Linked DNA regions of Saccharomyces cerevisiae S288C. The main gene of each other region encodes a partner of the protein of the gene in region 3 in a complex. Each region holds a gene or a part of one and is shown on either strand. Other genes may lie near its edges. The genes, in order: RPC31, RPC34, RPC82 and RPC53. A codon is read from its position in the direction of its gene.

Evidence for each region.
Region 1: the proteins of RPC82 (region 3) and RPC31 are in contact, whole or in part, in a cryo-EM structure (PDB 7Z31), measured with the Saccharomyces cerevisiae proteins. Residues at the interface, in NP_015516.1 of Saccharomyces cerevisiae: Leu25 (codon at 2,393), Val26 (codon at 2,390), Ile34 (codon at 2,366), Ser35 (codon at 2,363), Lys54 (codon at 2,306), Ala55 (codon at 2,303), His56 (codon at 2,300), Leu57 (codon at 2,297), Gly58 (codon at 2,294), Glu59 (codon at 2,291), Arg60 (codon at 2,288), Ala61 (codon at 2,285), Asp89 (codon at 2,201), Lys92 (codon at 2,192), Thr93 (codon at 2,189), Thr94 (codon at 2,186), Leu95 (codon at 2,183), Val96 (codon at 2,180), Ser97 (codon at 2,177), Thr99 (codon at 2,171), Gln100 (codon at 2,168), Leu101 (codon at 2,165), Tyr106 (codon at 2,150), Gln108 (codon at 2,144), Thr118 (codon at 2,114), Tyr120 (codon at 2,108), Leu130 (codon at 2,078), Leu131 (codon at 2,075), Tyr132 (codon at 2,072), Ser133 (codon at 2,069); in NP_014248.3 of Saccharomyces cerevisiae: His32 (codon at 3,216), Glu35 (codon at 3,225), Ile39 (codon at 3,237), Leu41 (codon at 3,243), Pro42 (codon at 3,246), Ile43 (codon at 3,249), Asn44 (codon at 3,252), Gly45 (codon at 3,255), Pro46 (codon at 3,258), Ile47 (codon at 3,261), Glu51 (codon at 3,273), Arg52 (codon at 3,276), Leu54 (codon at 3,282), Ala55 (codon at 3,285), Lys57 (codon at 3,291), Tyr58 (codon at 3,294), Ile59 (codon at 3,297), Asn60 (codon at 3,300), Phe61 (codon at 3,303), Gly62 (codon at 3,306), Lys63 (codon at 3,309), Thr64 (codon at 3,312), Val65 (codon at 3,315), Lys66 (codon at 3,318), Phe70 (codon at 3,330), Tyr71 (codon at 3,333), Thr72 (codon at 3,336), Gly73 (codon at 3,339), Ser74 (codon at 3,342), Met75 (codon at 3,345).
Region 2: the proteins of RPC82 (region 3) and RPC34 are in contact, whole or in part, in a cryo-EM structure (PDB 7Z0H), measured with the Saccharomyces cerevisiae proteins. Residues at the interface, in NP_015516.1 of Saccharomyces cerevisiae: Ser35 (codon at 2,363), Arg40 (codon at 2,348), Asn298 (codon at 1,574), Leu299 (codon at 1,571), Thr302 (codon at 1,562), Arg303 (codon at 1,559), Val304 (codon at 1,556), Gly305 (codon at 1,553), Ser306 (codon at 1,550), Val307 (codon at 1,547), Thr308 (codon at 1,544), Gly378 (codon at 1,334), Ser379 (codon at 1,331), Leu380 (codon at 1,328), Leu381 (codon at 1,325), Ser382 (codon at 1,322), Arg383 (codon at 1,319), Lys384 (codon at 1,316), Ser455 (codon at 1,103), Lys458 (codon at 1,094), Ile459 (codon at 1,091), Asn464 (codon at 1,076), Ser490 (codon at 998), Val491 (codon at 995), Tyr494 (codon at 986), Val495 (codon at 983), Ala497 (codon at 977), Ser498 (codon at 974), Thr499 (codon at 971), Pro502 (codon at 962); in NP_014400.1 of Saccharomyces cerevisiae: Trp164 (codon at 1,828), Leu170 (codon at 1,810), Ile172 (codon at 1,804), Ile175 (codon at 1,795), Asn176 (codon at 1,792), Leu179 (codon at 1,783), Asn189 (codon at 1,753), Pro192 (codon at 1,744), Pro202 (codon at 1,714), Lys203 (codon at 1,711), Lys204 (codon at 1,708), Asn205 (codon at 1,705), Val206 (codon at 1,702), Phe207 (codon at 1,699), Tyr208 (codon at 1,696), Ala209 (codon at 1,693), Pro210 (codon at 1,690), Val212 (codon at 1,684), Glu245 (codon at 1,585), Val246 (codon at 1,582), Val248 (codon at 1,576), Tyr249 (codon at 1,573), Asp250 (codon at 1,570), Asp251 (codon at 1,567), Glu254 (codon at 1,558), Val256 (codon at 1,552), Thr264 (codon at 1,528), Leu265 (codon at 1,525), Ile268 (codon at 1,516), Leu269 (codon at 1,513).
Region 4: RPC82 (region 3) and RPC53 share a complex: the UniProt entries of both Saccharomyces cerevisiae proteins name them as parts of the RNA polymerase III (Pol III) complex.

The regions. Positions count from the first base shown.
Region 1 is NC_001146.8:347,040-351,643, reverse strand, and holds RPC31 (DNA-directed RNA polymerase III subunit C31), read left to right. Parts: upstream 1-3,122; coding exon 3,123-3,878; downstream 3,879-4,604. Other genes in the region: YNL146C-A (uncharacterized protein), read left to right, coding at 64-258; Sm-like protein LSM7, read right to left, coding at 261-590, 687-704; ALF1 (Alf1p), read left to right, coding at 973-1,737; PGA2 (Pga2p), read left to right, coding at 1,888-2,277; INN1 (Inn1p), read right to left, coding at 4,102-4,604. UniProt on the Saccharomyces cerevisiae protein: DNA-dependent RNA polymerase catalyzes the transcription of DNA into RNA using the four ribonucleoside triphosphates as substrates. Specific peripheric component of RNA polymerase III which synthesizes small RNAs, such as 5S rRNA and tRNAs.
Region 2 is NC_001146.8:632,981-637,652, forward strand, and holds RPC34 (DNA-directed RNA polymerase III subunit C34), read right to left. Parts: upstream 2,318-4,672; coding exon 1,364-2,317; downstream 1-1,363. Other genes in the region: putative ammonium permease ATO2, read right to left, coding at 28-876; SWM2 (Swm2p), read left to right, coding at 2,963-3,403; ESCRT-0 subunit protein VPS27, read left to right, coding at 4,006-4,672. UniProt on the Saccharomyces cerevisiae protein: DNA-dependent RNA polymerase catalyzes the transcription of DNA into RNA using the four ribonucleoside triphosphates as substrates. Specific peripheric component of RNA polymerase III which synthesizes small RNAs, such as 5S rRNA and tRNAs.
Region 3 is NC_001148.4:916,577-922,392, forward strand, and holds RPC82 (DNA-directed RNA polymerase III subunit C82), read right to left. Parts: upstream 2,466-5,816; coding exon 501-2,465; downstream 1-500. Other genes in the region: SKI complex subunit tetratricopeptide repeat protein SKI3, read left to right, coding at 1-386; QCR2 (ubiquinol--cytochrome-c reductase subunit 2), read left to right, coding at 2,805-3,911; AQY1 (Aqy1p), read left to right, coding at 5,284-5,816. UniProt on the Saccharomyces cerevisiae protein: DNA-dependent RNA polymerase catalyzes the transcription of DNA into RNA using the four ribonucleoside triphosphates as substrates. Specific core component of RNA polymerase III which synthesizes small RNAs, such as 5S rRNA and tRNAs.
Region 4 is NC_001136.10:181,471-186,487, reverse strand, and holds RPC53 (DNA-directed RNA polymerase III subunit C53), read right to left. Parts: upstream 3,146-5,017; coding exon 1,877-3,145; downstream 1-1,876. Other genes in the region: autophagy protein ATG9, read right to left, coding at 1-1,563; rRNA-processing protein SAS10, read left to right, coding at 3,470-5,017. UniProt on the Saccharomyces cerevisiae protein: DNA-dependent RNA polymerase catalyzes the transcription of DNA into RNA using the four ribonucleoside triphosphates as substrates. Specific peripheric component of RNA polymerase III which synthesizes small RNAs, such as 5S rRNA and tRNAs.

The DNA.
Region 1 (4,604 bases), on a different chromosome or scaffold from region 3:
CTTTTTTGATTTGGCAGAAGGAAAATTGGTATTGGCAGCTGTACAGTGACTCCCCTTATACAAATGATCTCAGTTTGTTTCGTTTTTCCTCATTCTCTGGCTTTAGACTTCAAATCGCGGTGTAAAAAAAATAGGACAAAACTATGTAGCGCATACTATGTCAGTCAGGTATTGAGAATATGTAAAGAAATGCCATACCGTGATTTGATTTTGTTTTCAACTGTAAGGAAGGGAGTTTATATGAGATTATATTATTAAACCTATTTTTGCATATATAGTACATCAGAACCTTCGGCGGAACTTAAAGAGACCAAAATAGTACCTCTTATGACGGTCAAACCTAGCTTTCTTGCGTTTTTAGAAATCAGTTCAGTGTTGTTTTCATCATCAGGATTAGACATATATTCTACTGTATCATCAAGTACCAAGTTCATCAGTTGATCATAGCCTTTTAGGACACCTATAACTAATTTACCACCCATTAATTTGACGCGAATTTTAGAATCTTTATACTTCGCTAAATCCAGAATAGCTTCTCTTTTAGGGCCTTCGAATTTTTTCCTTTGCTGTTGTGGTTTGTTCTCTGATTTCTTAGTTCAAAAAGGAAACATAGTTATTATAATGTTAGTATAAATAAGTCAAAAGGAAGGTTATTGCCACGGAAGAAAATAAGAAGTGAAACATACGGAGTGTTGCTGATGCATGTTTTTTTGGTTAATGTTCTGTGTAGTAAACAAAGTGCTGCTCTCAAATAACTTTCTTTTTTACTGTAGTAGTATACACGTACATGCGTATTCTTAATTGTCGTTTCCCAGTTGTCTGTTTTCAGCTACAGCTTTTTTCGCCTTTGTTCGAAAGAACAGTACTTTTTTCCGGCTCGCAGGGAAACGGCAGTTGAAGAAGACAAGCGACAAGAACATAGAGCAACGAATTCAAATAAAGAGATAGAAAAAAAAATTACATGGCAAAACTATGGTTAGAGTTGTCATAGAGAGTGAATTGGTCCGTACAGAAAAGGAATTACCAAATTCGCTTAAATTAAGGCAGTTCAAGGACCGATTGTACCATGTTACCGGAGTGGAACCAGAGGATATGGAAATAGTTGTGAAAAGACAGTACGACAACAAGGAGATATATAGTACTAAAAAGGGGGGTGCCTATTCAAATGAGGATGAAGATGCCAACTTCCTAAAAGGAGAGGAGGAGCTTATTGTGGTTGTTACAGACTCTAATGCCCAATCAATCTCTAACCAGCTGGCCACGCAAGCGGAAGGAATCCCCTCAATGGAAGTAATTAGCGAGGAGGATTATTTGCGAAGGGATCAATCCGTATTACGATGGAAGATGGCTCACGGCTATGGTAGGTTTAATGCTGCACAGCAGAGCCAGCGCGCTGCGCTGGCAAAGCAGGACGAAGCATATGCCCGAGAGCAATTAACGGCGGCTATCGGCCGCCACTGTCGTGTCACAGTAGACGGGAGCGCTCCACGTGAGGCCATTTTACGGTACGTAGGACCACTACCGTTGGACGTGATGGGCACATGGTGCGGTGTGGAATTCCCGGAAGCCGCAGGCAAAAACGATGGGCGCATAAATGGGGTAACACTGTTTGGGCCTGTGGCGCCGGGTCACGGATCGTTTGTGCGTCCGCGGGCTGTGGAAATTCTATCAAAAGACGAAGAATCCGCCGAGGTGGAAGACGTCCATGATGACGTGGAGAGCGATGATGAAATTTGAATTTGTGCAGAATTAGCGCGGTGGCGGTTTAGTTAGTGATCTCCATCCGATGTCAACATATTATTATTTGTAGTTGTATTTATGTGCACTCGGCGGTTTGTATGAGGAAAAGATGTTATGAAGAGAAAAACTGCCGAGTAATTGAAAGAGATGTCTGAAGTAGCGGAAACATGGGTGGATACCTGGATGGCAAAACTAGTCAACTATGACTACAAGCACTTTATAAGATTGGTGATAATTGTAGGTGGTTATTTACTCTTAAGAAATATCGCATCCAGGGAATTGGCGAAGAAGCAGTTGGCTGCCCAAGTGGAAAAGGACAAACGAGACAAAGAGGAAAAGAGATCAAAAGACCTGATCGACAAGCCAGATGATGCTGCAACAGCAGAAACAACTTCTTTCGGTTGGGGTAAGAAAACTAGAAGAAGAGTTAAAAGACAACAGGAGTTGTTTGAAAACGCTTTGGAAGAGGCTAAGAGAAGAAACCAAGGGTTGGACCCAGATAGTGATGCTGATATTGAGGAACTACTGGAAGAATAGGCTCTCTGTGTATGTATGGGTTCCTCTTTGTCATTGTGACATTGTTTTGTTTTTAGTTTTTCTATAGTTTTCTGATAAAATAGTCTAACCATTACCGATGTTGCTACTTGCATCATTCTCAACGTCTAATCAACTTGCGTTTGCGTCTCAAATTGAGTTTGTAGGTTACGTGTCGCCTTAATAGTCAGCAAATGCCGACGTTTGTGAGACGGATAACGACTGCGATGATTCCCATTCCGCATGAATGATGCAATTCACAATTCAAACACGATATCAAACGACTAAGCCGTGAATTAACGGCTAGAATGCAAAAGAAAATGGGTAAGAATTGATTTATGTAGATACGGCAAGACGATACTTTCCTTAAACAGCCGAGAAACGAAAAGGTTTAAAGAGATGTACTGTGACGTAGAAGAGAAAGGATTACGCAGCAATGGCTTGTCCAAATTTCGTAGTCTAGCCAATTGAAAATATAAATTATTTTCAATACTAATGGGCGGCTTTCGAACAAATGTCACATTGCAGAGGTGATCGTTCAAAGTAATTAGCAGTCATGAACGAGATCTTCTTTTCTCTTATGAAGAAAAAGGCTGATGGTCGACAAGAAAAATCTCAATACAATGGCTACCATTCCACAAAGAAGTGCCTCGCTAGGTGTAACTCAATGAACTGAAATTGCTTTCGTCAGTGGTTTCAACTCTTGTGCGGCCGCATGAAAAATGAAGAGAAATTTGAAAAAATCTCAAAGAAGAAAATAGTTTCCTCATCGCAGCAACCTATAGAAAACAACACGACAGAAAGATATTGTAACTTGATAGTACCGAGCATATATACCCCGAACAAACATGAGTTCTTATAGGGGCGGCAGTAGAGGTGGCGGGAGCAACTATATGAGCAATCTACCCTTCGGATTAGGTTATGGAGATGTAGGCAAAAATCATATTACGGAATTTCCATCCATCCCATTGCCCATCAATGGTCCTATAACAAATAAGGAAAGATCTTTAGCAGTAAAGTACATCAATTTTGGAAAGACTGTTAAAGATGGCCCATTTTATACCGGATCAATGAGCTTGATAATAGATCAACAGGAAAACAGCAAGAGCGGTAAACGCAAACCCAACATAATCCTAGACGAAGACGATACTAATGATGGCATTGAAAGATATTCCGATAAATATTTGAAAAAAAGGAAAATAGGTATTTCTATTGATGATCATCCGTATAATTTGAACCTCTTTCCCAATGAATTGTACAATGTAATGGGGATCAACAAGAAAAAATTATTGGCAATCTCCAAGTTTAATAATGCCGATGATGTTTTTACTGGTACAGGTTTACAAGATGAAAACATCGGACTATCCATGCTGGCAAAGTTAAAGGAGTTGGCAGAAGATGTGGATGATGCGTCGACGGGTGATGGGGCAGCAAAAGGAAGTAAAACAGGCGAAGGAGAAGATGATGATTTGGCGGATGATGATTTCGAAGAAGATGAAGACGAAGAAGATGATGATGATTATAATGCTGAAAAGTATTTCAACAATGGTGACGATGATGATTACGGTGATGAAGAGGATCCAAATGAAGAGGCCGCCTTTTAGTTGAAAATTTATACCGCTTTACCATATTTTTGGATATTCTTCAAAGCAGAATTTGTACAATTAGCATTTTTCTTTATGGTTTAGATCGGCGGTGAGGGCGCAACAGATTTATGTATACATATTGAAATAATAAAATTTAAAAAAGAAAAAATCTTGGTAAACATTAAAAATCTTAATTCTATTTAAATATTAGTATTACAATAACAGCATGTTTCTCTTGTCATTAGCTGAGCCTTGGAGGTGGTCTTTTTCTTGTAGGAGACATCGAATTCTTCCTCGAATTAAAATTGGAATTCGAAGTAGTCGGTAGAGGTGGTAGTTTTGGAGAATTCAGGCCTGATGGATGAGGATGTGAGTTAGGCGAAGAGGAATCTAGGCGTGAGGGTCTATCTCTTCTTACTAACGGCGTATTGCGCGAACTTGAATAATTGGACATATCATCTCTGGTCGGTATAGGAGGTAAGGGCGGTTGGTTATAGTTGTGGGAGACTCTATGGCTGGAAGAATAAAATGCGTCATTTTCGTCGTCATCGTCATCATCTTCGTCGTAAGACAACGAAGTTACACCAATAGCCTTTTGAAGTGCCTCAATATCTACCTTGTTAGATTCATTTTGGCAGTTGTTTGTTGAACTATCAGGATTCTTAAATATATTTATCTTCTCCTTTAATTTCCTTAAATTGGCAAAATGGAATTTTGTATTCGAAGTGTTTGATATAGCAGTAT
Region 2 (4,672 bases), on a different chromosome or scaffold from region 3:
GTTATTTTAGCCTGCACTTTTGTGTTTTTAGAAGAACACCTTATCATTGCTAGGTAATGCGAATGGATGGACCATAATGTACGAGTTTTGTCTTGTGGCAATACCTGCGTAAGCGTTGTACCAGGCAATGAAGGCTACTATCACACCAAGGACCCCACCAGCTCTAGTGACGCCAACTTCGCCTGTGAAGTTTGCAATGGATAGAAGTAAGAAGGTCACTGCTAAGAGGAAGAATAAGGCAAAAAACATTATAGTTGATTTCATGGTGCAGACGGAAAGACCGAAGGTGAAGAGTGCCCATCCTAGGAGGTAAAACCCTAGCGCATTTCCAAGGTCGGATTCCTTGTCCTTATAGGCATCTAGAATTCCAAACCAAGGGATGTATATAGCACCGAAGCTTAACCAAAAACCGCCGAAGGAACACAGGGCTGTACCACCGAAAGTGTTCTCTAAAGCGATTTCCCAAATACCAGCAATGAGTTGAACGAGGCCACCGTAAAACATGGCACACCCAACAACAACATTAGGGATAGTGATGCCTTGGGCTCTTGCATTGAACATGGATAGGACAAACGTAGTGAGGGCAAAACCGGAAAGTCCTAGTGGAGCAGGATTTGCGAATTTATGGACTGGCGCGGGGGCTAAACCGGGATTCAGAGTACCACCGAATGCCTCGAACAAATCATCCCTTAAAAATTTTTGACGGCCGATGTAAATATACTCGTTGTTTTTGCCCGCAGTATATATTTTGCATATGGACTCTTGCGAGTGGCGGCTCTGATCGTTGTTTTCAGAGATGAACTCACCCTCGGAAGAATCGAGTGCCTTAGGGTTCTCAAAAGCGGTGTTGCCGCTGCTTTGTTCTCTGTCAGACATGCCTTTTATTTTTTTCTGTGATTGAAGATTGTTTTTGATTGATCTGTAGAATGTTACATAGTTAGTTATGGCTATTCTAGCTCTAGGTAGGACAGTTCTCCTGCTTTATATATTTTGCTTGTTCAAAGATGATCACGGCTGTTCTCGGAGTGCGTAACTGCTTGAGAGTTAAATCCGTCGAAGTTGCTGATCATTTCCAGAAATGAGGAGACTGTTGATGATCTACTGTGAAATTATTGCGGGGCTGGTAGCATCTACTGTCACTATTATTGCCATGTCGGCTGGTATCGGAGTTCTCCCTCCGCCGATTTAGGATGGAGCCGTTCCAGCCGCGTCCGCTCTTAAGCGTCCGTAATTGGTCAACAAAGCATTTCAGCCGTGGTGATTGGAAGGAAGGTCAGCTTTCCTGTATTGCGTCTCTATCTACTTACAATACGAATGATACATTGAATTACGTACTAGTGTGAGATAGGGGTAGTCAAGAACTTCAAATTGTCCATTCATCGAAATAGACCACTTCCTTGTCGTGTTTTGAAGCCGGAAACATCTTGAAGTAGTTAAAGATGGAAAATTCTTCTTCATCCTCCAAAGCCTTATTACCTGCCTCCGGCTCGCCCTCACCTTGGTTCATTTGTAGAATGCTCTCTAAGGTCACTCTATAGCAGTCATGCGTGACTTTTTCCAGCTTGTCGTCGTACACTAAGACTTCACACAAAGATCTGATATTTGAAGGGGTTAACTCGACATTGGCCACTTGTGCCGCTGTAATAAATTCCAAAATTTCTTGTGTGGTAGAGTAATTTTTTACGTTTGGAGCATAAAAGACGTTTTTTTTGGGTCCATTTTCGAAATTCTTGAAGCCATTAGGGAAGGTGTTCTCTGATATGAACCTCCAAACAATAGTCAATAAACTATTGATAAATTCTATATCCAGCTCTCCATCTGTGAACCATGGACCTCCTGTGATGTCCACAGAGGGTTGTAAGCTGTACAACATGTAGATTTTCCTTGTGGGAAACTTTACACTCTTAACACTCTTCACGTATCTTTGGGATTCTAAACTCTTCAAGCATTTAAGAACTACATGCTGATGGAGATTGGTTCTTGCCTTGATAGTCTTGGACCATATCCCTTCTCTACCGCTAGCCTCGATATAAGAATATACCAGTGCCTCTTCAGCCGACATGGTGGCTTTCTTTTGCGCCTCAGATTCTAAGACACCTTGAAATTTTAATTCGTCGTTTTGTTTTACTAATTTGATCAAGTTCTTGTCTAGCAATTCCTGTACAATGGACATCAAGTCTGTTAACGACCCGATTCCCATTTGTTTTTGGAGTTCTTGCTGTGTAAATAATGCGCCTATTCCTTTCGACATCATCTGGCTATGTAAGGTTTTAGCATTGTCCGATAGCTGTAACCCATTTTCTATCATTCCACTCATATTCAGGATATTGGCGCTGTAAATTCTTCACTTGATTAAGATTTTCTGTAATGATCTCATCTCACAAATACATCGCAAATCAACTTGAAAATTTTTAATACAATAAAAGATTTGAAGGAAAAAAAAAGTGCCTGTGCGCGATGTTACTTAAAAACAAAAAGATTAAATAATTGCAATATCATCTAGTTGGATTCTAAATATACTACCAAACAAGGGCTTAAACATTTTAATAAACGATTTACATATTTACTGTGGGTATGGCAATGGGTGAGCGTAGGTATGCTACGGTAGGCGATGTAGTGAGTAGTGCGGACGAACCGTAGCCGTAACGTTTAATGCCCCCTGCCTTTTCTTCTCAATTGCTCACATGTAAGCAAAGTCTTCCAAGAATCTGGTTTTACTCGTAGCCTTTTAACGCTGTTTTTTTTTTTTGCACACCTTTAAAACCTATAGAAACTCCTTCATATAAAATGTACTAGTTATAAGATGACTTTTTATATTCAAAATTAGAAGAAAACTTAACTAAAATTAAAAAAATAGCGGCTATTAAAAGGTATTAAAAAGTGAGAAAAAAAGAAAAAAATTATAAACTTGAGAAATCAAAGGAGACTAAATGCATAAGCAAAGAGAAGAGGATCTCCTCGGATGATAGATTTATACAATTACTCTAACTTAGAAGGTTTACTAGACGGATTAACGGACTTGAATCGAATTCCGAAGGAATACTCCGCAGTATTGGAGCCATATTTTCAGAATATAGCAAGAAATGCACATTTAAAGTCTAGAGCTCTAAAAATTTGTCGTTCTAATTTCCATAAATGGAACGAAGAAGGTGCGAAGACAGTCAATCCGGAAATTATAAGAAGATGCCTTAACCTGTGGTATGTTTTGAAGGGCAAGGAATATAAAAAGTTGAAGGATCCTCCGCCTGCTGATAATATCATTAAGGATGAGATTGATGTCTCATATGTTAAGAATTTGAATGTAGTCAGGTTGGAATTTGACGAATTTGGTAAACTCATAAGTAATCCATTAGAGAATTTGATCTTGGAAGAGGTCGAAGTGAATGATTTCATACAAGAATAAACCTAAAGTGTGTTCACTCATCTAATATGCACGGAGCCTACCTTTTAGCTTTTGCTGCCAAACTAAACCAAGATTGAAAGATATATAATCGACTATCTTTCGTCTCGTAATCTGTATCATGCAATTTAAATTAATTATCAACATAAAATGCTCTAGTTAGCACGCGCATATCCAGGAAAGTTCACCAGTAACTATGTACTAGACAAAAGCAAACTGTTCGGAGCGACCATACACCATATGTTGTTGAATCAACTTTTCTTAAGGCTCTTTCGAGTTCATCATTAACCAACCTAGGTATTTTCCCGATTTTTTGGTAATATGTCAAAACAGCTACTTTGTATACATTTATAGACGCCTGGTGTCCTTTGAGCCTCACTTATATAAAGTAACCTTCACAAGATTTTGGATTTTGGTAATACATACGCTACTGCTATTTCTTGCGGAGCAGCAGAATCATCTTGCTCGGCCTCCTTTTCTGAAAATTTCGATGATACCTGAAATAATCATCATTAGCAGAGGGAATTTAAAAATAGAGGGTGTAAAATTATCAAGATTTTTTTTTGCTAAGGTGAATGAGTAGTGAGTAAAGAACTAAGAACAGTATGTCCGTTAGCACGCCAAGTGAGTTAGACGCATTAATAGAACAAGCCACTAGTGAGAGCATTCCCAACGGTGACCTTGATCTCCCCATAGCGTTGGAAATTTCAGATGTGTTAAGATCTAGAAGGGTAAATCCCAAAGATTCTATGCGTTGTATAAAGAAAAGGATTCTCAATACGGCCGATAATCCAAATACCCAATTGTCTTCCTGGAAGCTTACCAATATATGTGTAAAAAATGGTGGAACGCCTTTTATTAAGGAAATTTGTTCCAGAGAGTTCATGGATACCATGGAACATGTCATTTTAAGAGAAGATAGCAACGAAGAACTTTCTGAGCTGGTAAAGACCATATTATATGAACTATACGTAGCCTTCAAAAATGATTCGCAACTTAACTATGTGGCAAAAGTTTATGATAAATTAATCTCTCGTGGCATTAAATTCCCTGAAAAGCTAACACTTTCCAATTCTCCGACTGCAATGTTTGACTCGAAGACGCCCGCAGATTGGATTGATTCTGATGCTTGTATGATTTGCTCCAAAAAGTTTTCTCTACTAAATAGGAAACATCACTGTCGTTCCTGTGGTGGAGTTTTCTGCCAAGAACACTCATCAAATAGTATACCCTTACCTGATTTGGGTATATATGAGCCAGTCAGAGTATGTG
Region 3 (5,816 bases):
CTATGTCAATTCTAGACGATAAGCGTGAAGATTTAAGCATTATTTTAGAAGAATTGAAAGCTTTGCCATTATCCAAACAAATAATAGATAAGCACAAAGACGCACCATATCTGATAGAAGAAATTACTAAGAGACTTTATCGTAACGATACCGGTAAACAAGTATGGCAAAGGAGTGCGTACTTTTTCCCTAATAACCTCAAGGTTTGGGAGAGATTAGATAAGAATATTCAACGAAGAATAGCTTCTAATGGACAAAATAAAGTTACTGCGGAGGAGATGAGTAAACTATATTGTGAGAGTAAGAATTTGAGAAGCATACAAAGAGGTATGTTTTTGTGCCCTTGGAACGTTACTGCAGTGAAGGCGCTAAACGAATGTTTCTAAAAATTTGGATTCGAGATAGTCAATCAAACCTTAATGTAACATTAGTAATAAATTTTATCTTTTCTATAGAGTATAAAAGGTTATTAGACAGAGTTTATCAGCTGTATAGAGTAATCATGCCATTTGGAAAACTTCCCAAAGCGATAGCAACCTCGATAAACGAGCGAAAACATTTAGCTCTCTTTCATTGACCATCTTTAATTGATTCAATTCGCTTGGTAATAGTAGTTCGTTCTCTCTTCCTTTAACATCATCTCTATTTGCCTTTTTTAATAATGTAGAGTTTTCTTGCTTTAATTTCTCCTTTTTAAAAAGTAAATTTGCCATATTCCATTCCAAGTTTTGTCTCATGAAATTATAGGAATGCGTTTCTTTGCATCTAAACAAAAAAACTGCCCTTGATGCTGATCTATCGGCTGTTCTTGGAACTTCCTGGATTTCCACAGAATTGTATCTAATTAAAGATGCTAATGTAGATCTTATATCCTTTTCCTTCATTAACGCAGTTGAGTTGATAATTTTCTCAGACACCAGCTTGTTATCACGAATACAACGGCTTAAACGCATTGCTGAGGGTCCCAACGTAGACGCGATAACATACTCATAAACAGATGACTTTAATACTGGCATTAGTTTGCTATATGGAACATAGTAAACACCTGGTTTGGTTTCGTTCAAAAAGGGGAAATTTGATGATGCTAGGATTTTTAAATGACTATTTATCAAAGAAGCTGAGTGAGGATCCTCAGTGTCTGCATCCAAATCCTCCTCCTCTTCGTCTTCTTCTTGTGTATCTCCACTTTCTTGAAGAGATTTGGAAACAGCAGCAGGTAGCGCCGGGATCACAAATCCATCTTCGGTTTTTAATTTTTTACTGGGTAATGATGCAGCAGCGTTTGAGCCAGAACGCTTTTTATTGTCAGAGGGCTTTCTAGATAATAAGCTTCCACGCAAGTCCAATTCTGCGGGGAGATGTCTTGCCAAGTCAATAGCATTAAAGGTAAGCCCTGGTGTCTTCTCCTCAACAAGTTCGGCTTCGTCTTGAAACGATTTTGCTTCCTCCAAATCTTGTAAAAGCCCAGTTTGAGTTAGTGGATCTCTAATTTTAGGAGACTTTTGCTCTGTGAGTCTTAATGCAATTTTGTAAACTTGAGCTGTGACGGAGCCGACTCTTGTCTTGGCCAAGTTAATCAATTGTTTAGATCTTCTACCTTTCATAAATCTATCCAAATTAATCGTCAGAGAGACTGTAGGTTTAACAATCCTCAATGAGGTCTTTGGATCAACCGTTAAGATTTGTGAAAGCTCATTTGGTTTATTTATGATTTTGGCAAAATCAGTTTTCGCATTCATCTTGGCTTGGGATCTTTTCTTCAAATCGGACAACGGGGAGTTTCTGGGAATATTTTTGTAATGTTTTTCATATAAAAATTGCCAGAGATCTTCGATTGGGGTATAATGCAATTTTGATATTTGAATAAGATATCCCATTTCACACAGTTGCACGAATAGTGATGAAATGGTGTACTTCATGGAATCTGACGTGACACTACTTAGATAATCTTCCACTGTTAAGGACCCTAATGATATAACGTTTTGTACAATTTCAGCCACCAGCTGTTTATGCTCCTCTTCGTCGTTTACACGCATTTGCGTAATAATTTCGTCAATAATCAACCCTGAGTAGAGTAAAATGTGTATCCCTTCCTCGTTATAGTAATAATAAGTCGTTTTTTTCCCGGATATTGCTGTTTCTTGCAGGTACTTAACACACCTTAATTGAGTTAATGAGACTAGTGTCGTCTTGACGCTGTCTACATCCATACCATCTATTTTCTCCACTAACTCGCGCACACTCAATCTGCCCAGCGCAACCAACATCCCAATTACAGAAGCTGCTCTTTCACCCAGATGTGCCTTCACCAACTCTTTGTAAAGAAACAAATCGGGATTCAAGGTTCTCTGTTCCAAGGATGATATGGTCATAACATCTTCGGGGGTGACCAACTTCTCAGATTCGACAGTGCTCTCACCTGTTTGGTTCTCTGCACTAAGCGCTTCTCCCAGTAACTCGTCCATTTGGATCTTGCTCAACAAAAATTTTTCCCTATTCCTGTGTCAGCAATTCTCTATTGTTCTCAATATTTCTTCCACTATTATTATTTTGATCCAAAATTATTTTTTTCCTTCAATGCGATGAGCTTTTGAAAAATTTCTGATCATTCCCAACGAACCAATAGAAGGCCCGCCCCGTCTTATATCCGTTAGCCTACCAAATATATATATAAAGAACAAGGGCCTTTCCTCAGAGCGTTTGCTGACGAAGTTTTAGAAGTTAATAAGGTTTTTAACAGCAGTGTGCTCGAACGATTAGGACGGGAGAGTTAAAATTATTAAAAGGAAAAAAGAAGAACGTTGATGTTGTCAGCAGCTAGATTGCAATTTGCCCAGGGGTCAGTTAGAAGGTTGACCGTTTCCGCTAGAGACGCACCTACTAAAATATCTACATTGGCTGTTAAGGTCCATGGAGGGTCTCGTTATGCAACCAAGGATGGTGTGGCCCATCTTTTAAACAGATTCAACTTTCAAAACACGAACACTAGATCAGCTTTGAAATTAGTCAGAGAATCCGAATTATTAGGGGGAACTTTTAAGTCTACCTTGGATAGGGAATACATCACTTTGAAAGCTACCTTTTTGAAGGACGACCTTCCCTACTACGTCAATGCCCTAGCAGACGTGCTATACAAGACTGCCTTCAAACCTCACGAGCTCACCGAATCTGTTTTGCCTGCTGCTAGATACGATTATGCGGTCGCTGAACAATGTCCGGTAAAGAGCGCCGAAGACCAATTGTATGCCATTACATTCAGAAAGGGTTTAGGAAACCCATTGTTATACGATGGTGTGGAAAGAGTCAGTTTGCAAGATATCAAGGACTTTGCGGACAAAGTCTATACCAAGGAGAACCTTGAAGTTAGCGGTGAAAATGTTGTTGAGGCCGATTTGAAAAGATTTGTTGACGAGTCACTGTTAAGCACTTTGCCTGCAGGTAAGTCATTGGTGAGTAAATCCGAACCAAAATTCTTTTTGGGTGAAGAAAACAGGGTAAGGTTTATCGGTGACTCCGTTGCCGCCATTGGTATCCCGGTAAACAAAGCCTCCCTAGCTCAATATGAAGTATTGGCCAACTATTTGACCTCTGCCCTATCCGAGCTTTCCGGTTTAATCAGCTCGGCTAAACTTGATAAATTCACTGACGGCGGCCTATTTACTCTGTTTGTAAGAGACCAGGACAGCGCCGTGGTATCTTCCAACATCAAGAAAATTGTTGCGGATTTGAAGAAGGGCAAGGACTTATCCCCTGCAATAAATTACACAAAGTTAAAGAATGCCGTCCAAAATGAATCTGTTTCCAGCCCAATTGAACTAAATTTTGACGCCGTGAAGGACTTTAAGTTGGGAAAATTCAACTATGTAGCCGTCGGTGATGTTTCCAACTTGCCATATTTGGACGAATTGTAAGAGGAAAGTATTTGTACAAAACGAAAAACTAAAGGCAAATATATATATAGATGTTGCCGCGCACCTTTTTTTTAATGAATATTCACACAAATATTGAAAATAAAAACAAACAAAATTCAAATAACAACATGTAAGACCAAAAAAAAATCCCTCATTATTTATTCCTTACCCTTTCCAAATTCTTACTATACTAGTAAATATATATTTAATTATCCTTTTTTCTACTTCAGCATACAATCCTTCTTTTGCCGCAGGTTTATAGTTAGACCCCTCAATTCTGTCAAGTTTCAGTGGTACGTTATTTTATGTCTCATCTCACGATCCTGGCAAAAAAAGAAAGGCATGTAATTTGAGGAGGCGATTCACCCTCATTTTTACGCAACAACAATGCTGTGTGGCTTACACGCCTCTGCGTACATATCTACATATTTAACGGTCCTGTATTTTCAAGCACGCAAGGCTGAAATAAACGGTTGTTTGCTTATGCGCGATGCACTCCGCCGAACATCACCGCAAAAGCACCGTAGGCGGAGATCTCCCAGCTAGTATGGGCATGACGGAACCACGATTTCCAGATATAGATACTTAAAAGCACTAAAAGGTCTATACATAAAACGCAGACTTACGTAAGATACATAGCAACTGCCGATATGGACGCCGCCATGCCGAATGACAAAGGGAGAATGTAGTACTAATTGATATCGTCTTATCCTCTCAGGAATGCAAACTTAAAACATACTTTCTCCCGTCCTAACAACGCCGGTTGTCGACGATAAATACCCCAAGAAATGCCCGCACAGAATCTCCTCCGTTAGGTGGTCATGCCCCGAGGGTGCGAGGTTGTTTCCTGCACGGTAAATCGGGATGCCATGAAAGCCGGCCCTCCCCACGCGTCCCCTAATTTTTTTCCAAGTGAATATCTGCATCGGCCACCGTTTTATATTACTTCGATAAGCTTGCCTTAAACTCATTATTGCCGTCGTTTATCCCTCAAAGCTTAATCTTACAAGAATTAGAAAGAAGAAAAGTTTATTCGTATAGACTTCCTTATGCCTGATGTCCTTCCACCCTCTTACACAGTAGGATTAGTCTAGAAGTGGTAAATTGCAGGATAGCATATACGCGACAAGGAAAAGAAAGAAGGAAAAATATTTTACGTCGGAAATTGTGTGATATGCCGTTTGAATTCGAGGTATATTAAGCGCAGTGCTTTTCCCTGCATCGCATTCTGTCTGTTCTTCCGAGTGTCGATTCCCACAATTCGTCTTGTCCTTTTGATATTTTGTTTTTTTTTTCCTTCTCTTTTTTTATTCTTTGTATTTGGTGCTGTCTGTCAATACGGCACATAAAGTAACATGTAATTAACTATAACATGTCTTCGAACGATTCGAACGATACCGACAAGCAACATACACGTCTGGATCCTACCGGTGTGGACGACGCCTACATCCCTCCGGAGCAGCCGGAAACAAAGCACCATCGCTTTAAAATCTCTAGGGACACCCTGAGAGACCACTTTATCGCTGCGGTCGGTGAGTTCTGCGGCACATTCATGTTTTTATGGTGCGCTTACGTTATCTGCAATGTCGCTAACCATGATGTCGCACTCGTTGCAGCGCCTGACGGTTCCCATCCGGGTCAATTGATTATGATTGCCATCGGTTTCGGATTTTCCGTCATGTTTTCTATCTGGTGTTTTGCCGGTGTCTCTGGTGGGGCTTTGAATCCTGCTATGTCGCTTTCGCTGTGCTTGGCGAGAGCCGTCTCTCCTACAAGATGTGTCGTTATGTGGGTTTCGCAGATTGTTGCTGGAATGGCCGCTGGAGGCGCTGCAAGCGCCATGACACCTGGTGAAGTCCTCTTTGCCAATTCTTTGGGCCTGGGCTGCTCTAGGACGAGGGGTCT
Region 4 (5,017 bases), on a different chromosome or scaffold from region 3:
AGGTTTTAAAATACTTTGTTTAATAAATCCGGACTCGTTGAACACAAAGCCCATGACGCATAAATTAATATTCCATTCTAGTGTTTTTGTCAGAACGTTGGTCCTAAATAATGGAATAGGCAAGGATAAATTCAGGATGTCGCTATTGTAAAGTGCTATGAGATAGTTTTCTCTTCTCATGATTCTATTGGCAACGTCATGCGCGTCGATTCTATTCTTGGCTTTGACTTCCACAACATTTGCCGTCATAGCGTTTTGATCCTTCAAGTACATTAGCTGCTGTATCACATTTTGCCAGGGCAAAGTTTGAAGTTCGTCATCCGATATATTTAAAAGATACTTGTAAAAGTTTTGTAATTCTGATAATTTTTGAACATCAAAGTAGAGTTGAACAATTTTGAGAATCACGAAGAAATAAAACATCCAAAGGAAAAACTTTGTGAACCCCGTTATACTATTAGAATAACACTTGTCGATAATAATATCCGAAACCCGGTGACTAGTCGGTAATTTGGAGTAGTCAACACAGTGACCCATATATGTAGAAACAAAAACAACAAAAAGCAAAGTGCATATATTCAATATTTTTTCCAGTATGATGCAATAGAACCCATTTCCCAGATAATAATTGTAAACATCTTGAAGAAATATATCGAGGTTTTCTACGTTTGCCCATTTCCACAGAGCCCGCTCTTTCACGCTCAACGTATTGATTCTATCTTCCGGGGTATTGTTTAAAACGGATATATTGCTCAGTAAATTTGGCTTTCTTAATGGAAACAATTTAGTGAACCTGTTTGTATTATTTAAGGGCGAACCGGTAAACCGAGGTTGTGTAGCACTACCAAAGTATTTAGTGCCATGCTTTTGATTACCATTAATGTTACGGGGACCATTATTTGCACTCTTGTCCTTATCATGGTGAATGGCGTTCGACGAAGTAAATAGCTTTTGGGTATCACGTTGAGGGCGGTTATTCTGTAAGATATGCCTGAAAAACAAAGGTCGTTTACCGTCCTCTATAGTATTGCTTTTCTTAGAGCTAAATTCATGAATCTTGCTTTTTTGAAAAAGGGGCGTATCGTCATCAAATCCATCATTATTTATGAACTCATTATCCTCTTCTTCTTCTGACGAAAGCTGTCCGACTTTGGGCACAGAATCATCGGTAGAGCCTTCAACCAGTCTTTCTAAATTGCTTTTTTCCGTTTCAAGTACATTTTCTTTGCTCGTTACAGAATTTAGCTGGTGGTCTCCATCCAATCCATCACTAATCTGTGGAGCATACGCCTGGACTTGCTCTTCATCTACTTCATCCTCTTCTTCTGTACTAGTGCCTTGGTCAGACTCAGGAACACGTAAGTCATTCTCATCTACATCTTCGCGGCTGTCGTTAGTAGAATGCAATAAAGATGAGCCTCTCTCTATGTCTGGTAAAGGGAAGTTGCTCATCTCCTGGCTATTAAGAGAAGGATTAACTTCATCCGATTGTAAACCAAATATTCGCGATAAGAAAGTATTCTTCCCATGAGAGTTGGGTAACTGGTATTCATCTCTCTCCATAACCTAATAATTCCGTGATTTTGATATTTCAGGCTGTTCTTAAATGTCTTCTTATCAAAGTGAGATACTCATTACTTCACGGTGGTTATGGCGCTTCTTTTTGTTTAAAGTGTGGCTCCCCTAAAGTTCCGAAACTGGGTAACAATAACTAGAATAACATTACCAATGTTCAAAGAGGATGAGAAATTGTAGAAGACAAGACGTCAATAGTACCTTTTGAATGGGAATCTAAGCATCTTAATTAGTGTAATTTGTTCTAGAAGTATTTATGACTGTGTATATTCATTTATATACTCGACAGATGCGAGTGCGATTAGATTTGAGGTGTGACTACTATTTTACCGTCCACACGGCCTAGAAGTTCCGCTGAGGATGCATCATCAGCGATACTTAATGCTATAACATCTTGTAAAAATGTGGTTTCGGCACCTTTGCCAATATCCATCACCACATTTCCAATTTTCACGGAAAGTTTTCCAGATTTGTGAACCCGTATAGACCCAACCTTGCCGGCAAGTTCTCTAGTAGACAAAGCATCCTTCGTGTCCTTCTTTTTAATATTCTTCTTCTTCTTTGAAGGGTCGCTAGCCTGGGTTTCCATGTCTTCTTTTTCTTCTTTCACAGCGGGTCTTTCAAAAGCTGGTAACCTAGTAGGTAACTGGAATACCATGAATCTTTCTGGTTTATTATTCATTTTCTTTAGTTTTCGTAATATATGCTGATGATCTGCATTTAATAATTCCAACTCAGCGGCCGCTTCTTTCCCATCAACCGATTGAAACTCCTTTTCAAGTCCAAGATCTGCCAGTTTCTCATTGACTTGCCTTTCTCTTTCTTCCAAATAAGATTGTAATCCGGTTCCGACAGGCTCTGTCTTCACACTGGGGGTTGGTTCACGAGTTGGCTTTTCTGAAAGAGCTTCTTGTATTTCTCTTTTGACAGTTTCAACGTCTTCGTGTCTTACGCGGACAGGTCTCACAGGGAATAACTGTTCAATCCGTTTAGATCTCCATTCTTCGTCATCCATGTCGACGTCACTGCTCTTTTCACTTTCGCCGTCATCTTCGTCCTCTATGAGATTGCGTGCCTCGAATTCTTTTCCCATATTGAACTTCTTCTTAGATTTGGACGCTACACCTTCATTATCATCGTCTTCTGCCTCATTCTCAGAGCTCTCAGCACCATTGTCAATAGTTTCCAGGCCCTTTTGCACAAGAGATGACCCGCTTCCTTCTGATTTGATGAATCCTCTTCTCAAATCACCCTTCTCACTTACAAAGTTCCCAGCCGCCAATGGACCGCTAGAGATAACGTGTGTGTTATTTAAGTATTTGGCCATTCGCCTTTGCTGGCCGCCAGCGCCGGTTACTCTTTTATTCTTGTTATTGAAATGTTTCTTGTCATTACCTCTCTTAGATTCCTCCTCTAGCTTTACTTTGGACGCAGCTGCTTCTCTTTCTTCCTTGGACTTTCTTGCAACTGCTTTTGGTTTAAACTTTAATGAGGGCTTGGCAGATCCTCCTCCATTGGAGGAGGAATCTTTTAATGATGGCAAGCGCCCATTTCCTTTATTACTGCTCATACTTAATGAATGCTATCCCGCTTAATAAAAAACAAGATTACGCTTCGACTTTCGGTTAGTCTAGCAAATTATAAATACCTCAATATCTTTCTAGCTGTCCTCTTTTGAATTGTTCTCTTGAATACCATAATTCTCTGGTCATTATCTTCTGCTGATCAAAAAATTGGACTTTGCAGGGCGGATGAAAAATTTTCAAACTGCGCTTCTGCAATGAAAAAAAATTCAATAATGAAGCTCATCTCATCATAGCTCATCTCACTGATGCTTTTATACAAAAAGTTTTGGAGGAAGAGAAAACATATTAGAGTGGGTGTATAGAATAATATGGTACGCAAAGGCTCAAACAGAACTAAGACCTCTGAAGTTGGGGATGAGATTAATCCGTATGGTTTAAACGAAGTTGATGATTTTGCTTCTAAAAGGGAAAAGGTTTTACTTGGACAATCCACCTTTGGCGACAGTAATAAAGATGATGACCATTCTCTGTTAGAAGACGAAGATGAGGAAGAAGTCTTAGCCATGGATGAAGATGATGAGTCAATAGATGAAAGAGAAGATGAGGAAGAAGAAGAGGAAGAGGAACTAGATGGTGCTGCAGCCTATAAGAAAATATTTGGTAGAAACTTAGAAACTGACCAGCTTCCTGAGGAAGATGAAGAGAATGGTATGTTAGACAACGAGAATGCCTGGGGGTCCACAAAAGGAGAATATTATGGGGCTGATGATTTAGATGATGACGAAGCTGCTAAGGAAATAGAAAAGGAAGCTTTACGACAACAAAAGAAGCATCTGGAAGAACTTAATATGAACGATTACTTAGATGAAGAAGAAGAAGAAGAGTGGGTCAAAAGTGCCAAAGAATTTGACATGGGTGAATTTAAGAACTCGACCAAGCAGGCTGATACTAAAACTTCCATAACGGATATTCTAAATATGGATGACGAAGCAAGGGATAACTATTTAAGGACAATGTTTCCTGAATTTGCTCCACTTTCAAAAGAATTCACAGAATTAGCTCCAAAGTTTGACGAATTAAAGAAATCTGAGGAAAATGAGTTCAATAAATTAAAGCTAATTGCACTTGGAAGTTACCTAGGCACAATATCATGTTACTATAGTATCTTGTTGCACGAACTCCATAATAATGAAGATTTCACATCTATGAAGGGACATCCGGTCATGGAAAAGATTTTAACGACAAAAGAGATTTGGAGGCAAGCCAGCGAATTGCCATCTAGTTTTGATGTGAATGAAGGAGATGGTTCTGAAAGTGAAGAAACCGCAAACATTGAGGCCTTTAACGAAAAGAAGCTGAATGAGTTGCAAAACAGTGAAGATTCTGATGCAGAGGATGGAGGAAAACAAAAGCAAGAAATTGATGAAGAAGAAAGAGAAAGCGATGAAGAAGAAGAAGAAGAAGATGTTGATATTGACGATTTTGAAGAGTACGTAGCACAATCACGTCTGCATTCTAAACCGAAAACATCATCAATGCCTGAAGCTGATGATTTCATTGAATCTGAGATTGCTGATGTGGACGCACAAGACAAAAAAGCTCGTAGAAGAACTTTGCGTTTCTATACTTCGAAAATTGATCAACAAGAAAATAAAAAGACGGATAGATTCAAAGGTGATGATGATATTCCATATAAGGAACGTTTATTTGAAAGGCAGCAACGTCTGTTGGATGAAGCTCGTAAACGTGGTATGCATGATAATAATGGTGCTGACCTAGACGATAAGGATTACGGTTCTGAAGATGAAGCTGTGTCTAGGAGCATCAACACTCAAGGCGAGAACGATTATTATCAACAGGTTCAGAGAGGTAAACAAGACAAGAAAATATCTCGTAAAGAGGCTCATAAGAATGCT